3 linked regions of the Arabidopsis thaliana genome follow. The protein of the gene in region 3 purifies or fractionates together with the protein of the main gene of each other region. This does not show direct contact. Each region holds a gene or a part of one and is shown on either strand. Other genes may lie near its edges.

Region 1 (3,755 bases), on a different chromosome or scaffold from region 3:
TATGACTTTATGCCATTTTATTCTACCATTTTTGTCTACGCTTTCGTCATTCTCGGTGTTACCAATCGAGCCCATGACATCGGTAAACATGAATACACTATAATGCATTGCCTACGCATATGTTTATCTTTAGTATTTTAGGCTTTAGCTCATTTATTTTAACGTTAAAGAAGTGTGAAACAATCTTTTAATAAATGCAAAAGTAGAAGCACGAAGGAATAAAAAAGGTATATACCGCATTCCTACGCGTATTCTATATGTTTGATTTTCTAGCCATTTTAGCTTTGGACTGTCACGTGAGTCGTGACGCTCTACCCCCTAAATCTATGTCTATAGTAGTATGTACATATCAGACACATGCATGAGGCACCTATATATTTGTAAATAAATTATACACTATATGACGTATGGATTCAATGATACCAAGAGTTTTTGCTTGTAACGCCCAAGATTTTCGAAACCTACAATCTAGGATCTAAATAGTGTACCTCCAGTTATAAATTATATTTGTCGCTCTAGATAAGTTAGAGTAATGGCCAAATCTCGATAACAATTTATTTGTGATCTCCTCACATGAATTTCTTTGGAACCAAATTAATCCCAAACGATAGGATTCAATAATCAGTTAAAGTTTTGTAGTATTCGATAGTGGGTTAGAGTAATGTAGTGATGCAAACAAGAGTGCTAATCTATTGGGTCTATACATTGGATCAAATTTAATATATGGGCCGAACTATCATACCAAGCGTCATGCTTTGAAGAAAGTAGTTGAACCAAGCCATTATACCCTTTTAACTACTAACTAACCCATCTCAAATATCCAGATTTAAATTGGTGTCCATATTATATGAAATAAGTTAAGACTGATTTGCCAACAAGGCAACAACACCTTAATAAATTTAAACATCTAACTGAAAGAAATGTATTTAATCATCCAACTAGGTACATTTAAGAATAGATCACATTCATAATTTTGTTATTATCATTTACAACAGTCATCATGGATTTGTCTTCTCTTTGATCCTGTCTTAGTGTCTTGAAATCTTTGAGCATTTCTTCTTCTTCGTCTCTTATAATATATTTAAAAGGTTATATATTTACATATATACAACTTTGATTTCGATACTCTTGAGAATCCAATAATGAAAGCGAAAGTCATAGAGAAAGAGAACTGCTTCGTATGGTTGGTTAAGGCTCCTTTTCGTCTGTTGATCATGGCACGTGACGCCTACATACGAAGCATTACGTCATGCTCCGGCGCCGGAATTTATTCCGGTGGTGGATCATCTGGTTTTGGTCAACTCTCCGGAAACTTCCAAATCTGCGATCCGCCTAGCACCGCCCTTCCTCGAAGCTTTACCTTGACGTCGGCGGCACATGATCAAGGCTGTCTGACACGTGGCGGACAACCTACGATTGCAATGAGACAATCATTGTCCTTGGATCATCGGAAGAACAATAGATGCGTTGTTGTGATGGGAAGAATAGATGAGGAGATGTCTTGTGATGATGATGATGAGTTTCAAGAAGAAGACTCTTTTCTTGATTATGGTAATTGCGAGATTCTTACAAAAGAAATAGAAAAACCATCTGTTGACCAAAAACATAAGCCTCTAGGACGATTTTGATTTTGATTTTTAGGTTTATTATTAGGTTGTTGCATTGTGCTTATTGAGAAATATGGATCAAACACTTGAAAAGAAAAATCATTTTGTATCATTTAATATTATTTCTTGTATTACTTATAATTGATGTTAAAAAAAATTACATACGATTCTAAAAGTGGTGATGCAAATAATTCACATTGTTTTGTTAACAACCAATGCAGTTCTACATGATTTTAATATCATGAGTAATTTCTAAAAACAAATTACAACAAAAATTAATTTCTTTTAACCACAATAACTTCACAAAATTACAAACATAAAATACAAATTCAAAACCACAAGCACAAAAAATAATAATTTAGAAAGTTTATCAATTACTATTTTTGCTGTAAGAAAAAAAGTTTCTCAATTTTATTTTTGTCTGCAATATCTTTACAGATTCCAAAACAAAACAAAAAAACTATCTTTTTATTTATATATATATATATATATATATATATATAAATGTAAACTTCCTCATAAGTAAATTAACAAGAATATATATCAAACAAAATCTTGTAATTTTTTAATATAAATAAAGCTAAACCTTTACGAAGAAGAAAGACTCTGGTGATTGATTCTCCAAAGTCTAAACCTAGTAAAAGCCAAGTCTCATTCCTCGGGTGAACTCAACAACCGACGATGGCAGAACTAAGGTTATCAGAAACTCGAGACTTAACTAGGATCGAAAGAATCGGAGCACACTCACACATACGAGGTTTAGGTCTCGACTCAGTACTCGAGCCACGAGCCGTATCCGAAGGAATGGTTGGTCAAATCAAAGCACGTAAAGCCGCCGGAGTAACCCTCGAGTTGATCAGAGACGGCAAAATCTCGGGTCGGGCTATACTTATAGCGGGTCAACCCGGAACGGGTAAAATCGCAATAGCAATGGGTATAGCAAAATCACTTGGACAAGAAACACCATTCACTATGATTGCAGGAAGTGAGATCTTTTCTTTAGAGATGTCAAAGACTGAAGCTTTAACTCAAGCTTTTCGTAAAGCTATTGGTGTTAGGATCAAAGAAGAGACTGACGTGATAGAAGGAGAAGTTGTGACGATTTCGATTGATAGACCTGCTTCTTCTGGTGGTTCTGTGAAGAAGACTGGGAAGATAACAATGAAGACGACTGATATGGAATCTAATTTTGATTTGGGATGGAAATTGATTGAGCCATTGGATAAGGAGAAAGTACAGAGTGGTGATGTTATTGTTTTGGATAGGTTTTGTGGGAAGATTACTAAGCTTGGAAGATCTTTTACGAGGTCTAGAGATTTTGATGTTATGGGTTCAAAGACTAAGTTTGTGCAGTGCCCTGAAGGTGAGCTTGAGAAGAGGAAGGAGGTTTTGCATTCTGTCACACTTCATGAGATTGATGTTATTAATAGCAGGTTTGTTTCTTGATCTTGTTCTGTATTTGTCAATTGCTTAGTTTTAGGTTTAGGTTAAAAAGATTGCTTCTTTTTCACGTATTGATGCTTTTTCAAGTTCTTATTTGGATTCTTGTTTTCTTTCTGTTGTTTGCAGGACTCAAGGGTATCTAGCCCTCTTCACAGGTGATACAGGCGAGATTCGTTCAGAAACCCGAGAGCAAAGCGATACTAAAGTGGCAGAGTGGAGAGAAGAAGGGAAAGCTGAAATAGTACCTGGTGTTCTCTTCATTGATGAAGTCCATATGCTTGATATCGAATGCTTCTCTTTCCTGAATAGAGCTCTCGAAAACGATATGTCACCAATCCTGGTCGTGGCTACAAACAGAGGAATGACAACAATCCGAGGAACAAACCAGATATCAGCACATGGGATCCCAATCGATTTTCTTGACCGTCTTCTTATTATCACAACACAGCCTTACACACAAGACGAGATCAGAAATATTTTAGAGATCCGTTGCCAAGAAGAGGATGTGGAGATGAACGAGGAAGCGAAACAGCTTCTGACTTTGATCGGATGTAATACCTCGCTTAGGTACGCGATTCATCTAATCAATGCAGCTGCCCTAGCTTGCCTGAAACGTAAAGGGAAAGTCGTAGAGATTCAGGACATTGAGAGAGTTTATAGATTGTTTTTAGACACCAAGAGATCGATGCAGTACTTGGTTGAGCA
Region 2 (3,755 bases), 6.9 Mb from region 3:
AGCCAAAAGGGTGATGTGAGACCGTTATACTTGACATATTTTATATATTTTATTTATATAACCTATTTTGGATCGTTTCCAACTATAAGATATGGGGTTGATAATTTTTGATTGTACATGAAGATTTTGTGTCCTTTGTATTGTATTCTATAGTCGAACTTGGACCACGTGTAATAACACCGGAGCACGCATTTTATAAGCTTTATGCTAGTATCCATACGATTAAATTATAGTTCATCATCATTTGTTATACTATATATTGATGTCACATAATAATTCAGATTTAAATATGGTAATGTGTTTGTGAACTATCCAAAAAATTTCAAAGAAATATACCAAAAATTTAATAGTTAAAATCTGAAAACAAAGCATGTAATTTAAGCTACAATTGTTATTACATATTGTAAGGGCTACGCAATTAGTTCTTGACAGTTGGTTGACTACATAACACTTGCTGAAACCTACGTTTTAGCGTTGGATATCTCTCTATATATTTTTGGTCAATGTCGTTGGAGATTGAATCCTAGATTAAATCCTACAAGAAGAAGAAAGCTTCATGAGAAGAAGAAGATGAAGAAAAGAGAAGAAGCCAAGCTTGGAAGAAGAGAAGAAGAAGATGTCGTGACCAAAGGAGGAAGAAGAGAATAAGAAGTTGTCGTGACCACTGACCAAAGGAGGAAGAAGAGTCAACGACACAAATCCAACATAAGAACGGAGTTGGATTTGTGTTTTGTAATAAGGCCATTGGGCCGTAAGTGAATTATAGCCCCACAAGTGTTAGTGGGTTTGGTTGGTTAAGTTTAAGCTAAATAAGTTAAGGTGGATATAACAAACATAGTTGCACCAATGCATCTCAGCTCACCTGGTCTAAGCAACGGTTTCAAGAAGTTGCTCGCTTCTATTGCTCCACGCCTCCACAAGTAGCTCCTACACAAGAGTAATAACTCATTAGTATAGAGACACAAGATTATACAAGAAATACTTAGTAGACATAATTGTTCATCTCCAGTGTTAATCCTCAATAATTGTTCGATGCAGTATTCTTCTAATGAGATGAAAAATCATTTTTATAGAGTTACCACCCATCAAAACCATTTATACAAAACGTTTTACTTGGTCAGAGTAAAAAAATGCATACAAGTATTGTGTATAAATAAAAAGGTCATCTATTAATGTATAATCTGAATCAAAAAAAGAAAGAGCACCTGCACCAATAACAATGTGAATCTCATCAATGAACAAGATTGTTTGCCCATTCGAAGCATATACTTCCTTCAATATTGTTTTAAACCTTGTCTCAAAATCTTCTCCATAATTAGCACCAACAAGGAGTGAACCCACGTCAAGAGATTTCAGCTCCATGATAAATAGCGAAACCAAGCAAAGCATGTTAAATCTTCCTCTAGCCTCTTTGAGGGGAAAAGGTAAATAAACTTAAATATTTAAAAATATCTAAGTTTATATAATAACAATATTGGGTAAGTGAAAAGTAATTGTCATTATTTTTGACACTTATTTTTATAAGTTAGAAGTAATTATAATTTTTTCAAACAAAAAAGTAAGTTTTTTGTGTGTGAAAAAATAATGATATTGAGAAGGTAATTTAATTAGAGGTGATATTTTATACCTTAAGAAGTGTATTAAAGTTAATAATAACCATAAGTTAAAATTGGTAAGCTAAATGTTAGAAATCATTTGTGTTGTCTGAATTTTCAAGTTTCGTTCGTTTCGGATTACTTTCTTCTTCTGCAAAAACAGATCCCAACCATTTCAAAGGTTCGTCTTCTCCTTCTCTTCCACACTCTTCTCTGCTTCACTTTTTACTCTATCTTCGACTAGTAATATCGCTTTCGACTTCTCAAATTACTTCTCAAGTTACTATTTTTCTCTTCCTTTCTTTCAAATTTTCGTTACAAACTGAGTTTGAAACTGTTTGGGTTTTGTAAAGTTTTGATCTTTTCATGATATTGCGGTAAGAGATTGTTAATTCGACTTCTGGGTACTCACATTTCGATGCTCAATTGTTTATTCTTATGGGTAATTTTGGCTAGGGTTTTTTCCAATTTCTCTCTCGTTCTCTTTCACAAGGTTAGTCGATCTTGCTCATGTGGTATAGAGTTTGATGAATCGAGTTGTTTAGTAGCTATTGTACGAACTATCTCTTGATATAGTTGTAAAGGTTTTAGATTGGGAACAAAAAATTTCACTGTGATGTTTGTTTAGGTAGTAGAGTTCAATTGTGTGAAACTCTAATTTCATAGTTTGCTTAAGTCTCAGAACTAGCACTGAGTCTATTGTTATATGTGTTGTTTATGTAAGTTTGTTGTTATTGATGGGAGATATGTTTTGTGTGCAGAAAATGAGTAGTTTGGTGGAGAGGCTTCGCATACGATCTGATAGGAAACCAGTTTATAACCTAGATGATTCTGATGATGACGACTTCGTTCCTAAAAAAGATCGAACCTTTGAGCAAGTCGAGGCTATTGTCAGAACTGATGCGGTTTGTTTCTCCTCTCGAGCTTATTGTTCAGCTTTTACTGTTTTATGTGTTCTATTTTAATCCTTTTTTTTGTGTTGTTACTCTGAATTTGTAGAAAGAAAATGCATGTCAGGCTTGTGGGGAAAGTACTAATCTTGTAAGCTGCAATACATGCACTTATGCGTTCCATGCTAAATGCTTAGTTCCACCTCTTAAAGATGCTTCCGTGGAAAATTGGAGATGCCCTGAATGTGTAAGATTTTAGTTACGGTCCACAATTATGTTTTGGGATGCTACAGGTTCCATTTTTCTTACATGGAAGAATTGTTGTTTACATTTGCAGGTTAGTCCTCTTAACGAGATAGATAAGATATTGGATTGTGAAATGCGTCCTACAAAATCTAGTGAACAAGGTTCCTCCGATGCGGAACCGAAGCCAATTTTTGTGAAACAGTATCTCGTGAAGTGGAAGGGATTATCATACCTTCACTGCTCTTGGTAGTTACTGCGTGTCTTTTTTGCTGTCTGGACACGCTAATTATCAATGTTTCTTTCTGTGAACACTATAATATGTGATTTATTTCCTTTTACTAATCATAGGGTGCCTGAGAAGGAGTTCCAGAAGGCTTATAAGTCAAATCATCGTTTAAAAACCAGAGTGAACAATTTTCACCGTCAAATGGAGTCATTCAATAACAGCGAAGATGATTTTGTTGCCATACGTCCTGAGTGGACCACTGTTGATCGGATTCTTGCCTGCAGGTCTAGAGAATGGAATTAATTCCTTTATTTATCTATCTGCCAACTTTTTTTTTAATATCCTTGTTTTCAGCATAATCCATTCTCTAATAAACACGTATCTTTGATAGAGTGCTGCTTAACCTAAATTTACTGTTATCACGATTTTGGGTCTCTGAAACATGATAAATGACCTGCTTACCTTTTTTTTCTTCTTTTTAAGTTACCATTTTCTTAGTTGTTTCGTAAATCAGGAATTGTGACAGTTGCATTGGTTTCTTTTATGATATAGAGAGGAAGATGGGGAGCTGGAATATCTTGTCAAATATAAAGAGCTATCCTATGATGAATGTTATTGGGAGTCAGAATCAGACATCTCAACCTTCCAGAATGAAATTCAAAGGTTCAAGGATGTAAATTCTAGAACTCGCAGAAGTAAAGATGTTGACCATAAAAGAAATCCCAGAGACTTTCAACAGTTTGATCATACTCCTGAATTCCTCAAAGGTATTTGGATCACCTTAAATCATATACTATA
Region 3 (3,755 bases):
TGGTGATGATATCCCACTTCTCTGGCGTTGTAACAATTATCTGAGTCTCTTTGATTTCTTGCCCAGTAAGGGACTGATCCCCACTGAGTTCCTTCACAGTAACTCCAAAATCCTTCAAACGTTGAGATAGACTATCCACGACCTCAGCAACAAGGGCTTTCATTGGTGCAACATAGACAATTTTGTAATTACCATGATTAAACGTTCCACCAGGGTTCATATTCAATCCAAGCTGGTGCAGTATGGTGAGCACGGCAACATTGGTCTTCCCAGCACCAGTTGGAGCACAAAGAAGAATGTTGTCAGCCTTAAAAAGAGCAGTGCCGTACACTTTGCTCTGAACCCTATTCAACTGCTGCATTCCCCTAAAAGCTGGTTGGGCCCACTCTGGCAAATCGCTAATTTTCACAAGCTTTTCATTACTATCAAACTTTTTAGAAACCCACGGCACATGAACCTCATCAAATTCCTTGCCACGTATTCTGAAAGAGCGATCAGGAAGCTCACACTTGTTATTCTCCCTCGTGAAACCACCTTGGTTAAAAGCAAGGCTCTCCAGGTCCATCACCTGACGCTGGCCCTTCAACCAACCATTCTCCAAATCTAAATCATCAACATCTCTCATGCCTCTGTCTCCGTCAACACCAGAATCATCATCCATAAGATGTTGAGCTTCTTCTTTGATATCTTTCTCCCGTTTCTCCTCCCTTTCTTTGGCTGTTGCTCTTTTGGCATGCAACTCCTTAACAATTGCTGCCAACTCTGAACCTAACCCCAACATCTCCTCCTCAATTTGATTCCTCTCTTCCTGGTCTCTTCCCCTAGCCAAACGGGTGCACCACACAACTTTAAGACGGTTTTGCAACAGAAATTTAACAAGGCTGAACTTTTCAAACTGAAGGTGCTCAAGCAGCTTGATCTCAACATCCCTATCATTACCCTCAGCAAGTATCTTAAGCAGCTCTTCTGCGAGTTCCTGGCACTCTTGTGCATCAATCTTCTGCTCATATTCTTGAGATATCTTTCTCTGAAGCCAATAAGCATCAATATCCAGAACATTAAGACTCGTATCCTCCTTTGCCTGTCTTGCATCCTCGCCGTTTATTGCCACACCCACCTGGACAACTCCAGTTTTGTTAAGCTCAACAACATCTTCATCCTCCTCATCTTTTTCATCCTGGACCATATCAAGATCACTCTCATCATCATCCTCTTCACATTCAAGGGCAACACCAATATCATAATCAAGTCCTCCATCCTCACTAGCTTTACCACTTAAAGAATCACCACCCTCTTCATAGTCTGTAATCAGTTTTCCAATCGAAACAAACTGACTGAAAACCTGATCAGTAATAACGTTTAGTAGTTTCTCAATCTCTACCTTCTTTTCATGGTTTTTGACGGATTCATTCTTAAGAACTGCCAAAATCTCATCAGCCGCACCGCAAACAATGTCCAAAGGCTGCCCACCCAATTGCTGCTGGATAAGACCAAGCATAATCTCAAAAGCAACCCTTGTTTCCTTAGTCTTCGGCTGATAAACACCATCCTCCGTATCATTAAGTACACTCACCTCCCTAAGACGAACTCTTTTGCTCTCACGAGCAGACACCAAATCATCACAACGTTCCTTCTTCTTCTTAGATTTATTAAGCCGCTCATCTAACTCATGAGGCCTTCCCCTAACGACACGATCTCCAAAGGATTTCGGATCAATCCTACCCCTGAGACTCTCCGGTTCACCAGAAGATTCATGCGTATCACGACGACGCTCATCACTGTTAAGAACAAGACTGGAATTGACTTTGTACCCATACTGCTTCAACCTGGCTTGCTCCTCCGCACCACCACCACCCAAATTCGTCATCACCAAATCGGAAAAACAAACCCCAAATTCCAAGAATTAAATCAATGAAACAAAACAAAATTCGGAACGAAAAACTCTTCTATTACCTCTCTCCCGTTCTCCGTAATCGTCGTCTTAAGAATTTGATCGAGTCGATGAGTTTTTTTTTTTTTTCGTTCAACAGTCTTATATATACACCCTAAACAAGTCTTAAACCGACAATACATTGTCGGCCACAAATTCCAAACCCACGAAGGCCTGTCCGGAAGCCGACTAAAATTATGGAATTGTCCGGTTCAATCCGTTTTAACTATAATTAGAAGAAAACATTAATTAGAGTTGGTTCTTGATGAGTGTTTTCGTATAATCAGAGCAAGTTATCGTATCATTAGACCGTACCAACTAGCCAATCCGGTTTTCTGGTATTAGTAAAAAGCAGCGGTTGGATCCTATGACAATTAACGGTGAGGATTCGATCTTGAAAGCAATGCGTACGTAAATAGAATTGGGCCACAAGCCCAGTTTTATTCAGAAGGGCAAAATTGAAATCTGACAAAGAATTTGACGAATTGTGACAATGTGCGCTTTGAAAAAAAACGAAATTTATCCCGCGTGAGATGAAAAATTCAAAATATTTCACACAGGTGAAACCACTTTGACACGTGCGAGCTCGAAATTTTTCATTTTCAATTACAAAACCCGCCTAGAAAATGGTCTAAATTTTGTTTGCCAGATCGTCTCTCTCTCAAAAGCTTTTCTCTCTTTTTCTCCTTTGTCCCCTCCACTTTACCGTTCACGAAGCCATTCCGAGCTATCACGAAGGAATCTATTGAAGATTCATAGGTAAATCCATGGTTTGATTTGTTCAAGTAGGTTCTTTGTGATGTGACGGAGATTTGTTGCGAAAACGAAGAGTTGATCTCTTTTTCTTGTTGTTTATGAGGTTTCGAGAAAATCTGATTAACAATGGAGAACAAGACTGAGTTCTTGGGTTTTAATGTTGCGATTTCGATTTTGGGTGTGTTCTAATGGCATAGTTGTTTGATTTCTTCAGCGCTCAATCACAAATGCCAGAAGCACGAGATCGAATAGAGAGGCAAGTTGATTACCCAGCCGCATTTCTCAATAGACGCTCGCATGGTATTTTACTTGACGAACCAGCAACACAGCACAATTTGTTTGGGTCTCCGGTTCAGAGAGTGCCATCGGAAGCTACAGGAGGACTTGGGTCAATTGGTCAAGGATCTATGACGGGAAGAGGTGGGCTTGTGAGGGGTAATTTCGGTATTCGGCGGACTGGTGGTGGTAGAAGAGGTCAAATTCAATTTAGATCGCCACAGGGACGAGAGAACATGAGCTTGGGTGTTACAAGGCGTGGAAGGGCTCGTGCTTCAAATTCTGTCTTACCTTCTTGGTATCCAAGAACGCCCCTCCGTGATATTTCTGCCGTTGTTAGGGTTAGTTCACTAAACCTAGTCTCATTTTGGATTTGTCTGCTTATTCTTAGATTTAACTGGAGTTTTTTTCATTGATATATAGCTAATTTGTGATCTGTTTATATCTGGTTTGTGATTTGCATATTGGTTCAGAATCTGCTGCTTATAAGCTAGATTAGTCTTCTGTAACAGGCTTGCTTAGCCTCTTTGTTAACTATATCATAAGTCATAACCTGTTACCAAAAGGCTTGCTTAGTCTGGCTATTTACAAACTCTTATATGCAGGCTATTGAGAGAAGGAGAGCTCGTATGGGAGAAGGTGTTGGCCGAGATATTGAGACCCCAACTCCACAACAACTTGGGGTTCTTGATTCTCTAGTACCGTTGTCAGGTGCTCATCTCGAGCACGACTATTCTATGGTTACTCCCGGTCCATCTATTGGATTCAAGCGTCCTTGGCCACCCTCAACTGC

What was found.
Region 1: the proteins of AT2G42270 (region 3) and AT3G49830 fractionate together in Arabidopsis thaliana (co-fractionation; one large-scale study listed by BioGRID). This does not show direct contact.
Region 2: the proteins of AT2G42270 (region 3) and PKL fractionate together in Arabidopsis thaliana (co-fractionation; one large-scale study listed by BioGRID). This does not show direct contact.

The regions. Positions count from the first base shown.
Region 1 is NC_003074.8:18,480,095-18,483,849, forward strand, and holds the start of AT3G49830 (P-loop containing nucleoside triphosphate hydrolases superfamily protein), read left to right. Parts: upstream 1-2,154; 5' UTR 2,155-2,288; coding exon 2,289-3,040; intron 3,041-3,176; coding exon 3,177-3,755. Other genes in the region: AT3G49820 (uncharacterized protein), read left to right, coding at 1,143-1,628.
Region 2 is NC_003071.7:10,712,052-10,715,806, forward strand, and holds the start of PKL (chromatin remodeling factor CHD3 (PICKLE)), read left to right. Parts: upstream 1-2,013; coding exon 2,014-2,088; intron 2,089-2,356; coding exon 2,357-2,500; intron 2,501-2,594; coding exon 2,595-2,732; intron 2,733-2,822; coding exon 2,823-2,977; intron 2,978-3,079; coding exon 3,080-3,241; intron 3,242-3,509; coding exon 3,510-3,724; intron 3,725-3,755. Other genes in the region: AT2G25169 (uncharacterized protein), read right to left, coding at 555-664, 863-927, 1,292-1,407, 1,880-1,963. UniProt on the Arabidopsis thaliana protein: Chromatin remodeling factor that represses the expression of embryonic trait genes (such as NFYB9/LEC1) upon and after seed germination and thus enables the developmental switch to post-germinative growth. Silences some MADS-box proteins such as PHE1 and PHE2.
Region 3 is NC_003071.7:17,602,442-17,606,196, reverse strand, and holds the start of AT2G42270 (U5 small nuclear ribonucleoprotein helicase), read right to left. Parts: upstream 1,868-3,755; coding exon 1-1,867. Other genes in the region: UVI4 (uv-b-insensitive 4), read left to right, coding at 2,914-3,303, 3,568-3,755. UniProt on the Arabidopsis thaliana protein: RNA helicase that plays an essential role in pre-mRNA splicing as component of the U5 snRNP and U4/U6-U5 tri-snRNP complexes. Involved in spliceosome assembly, activation and disassembly.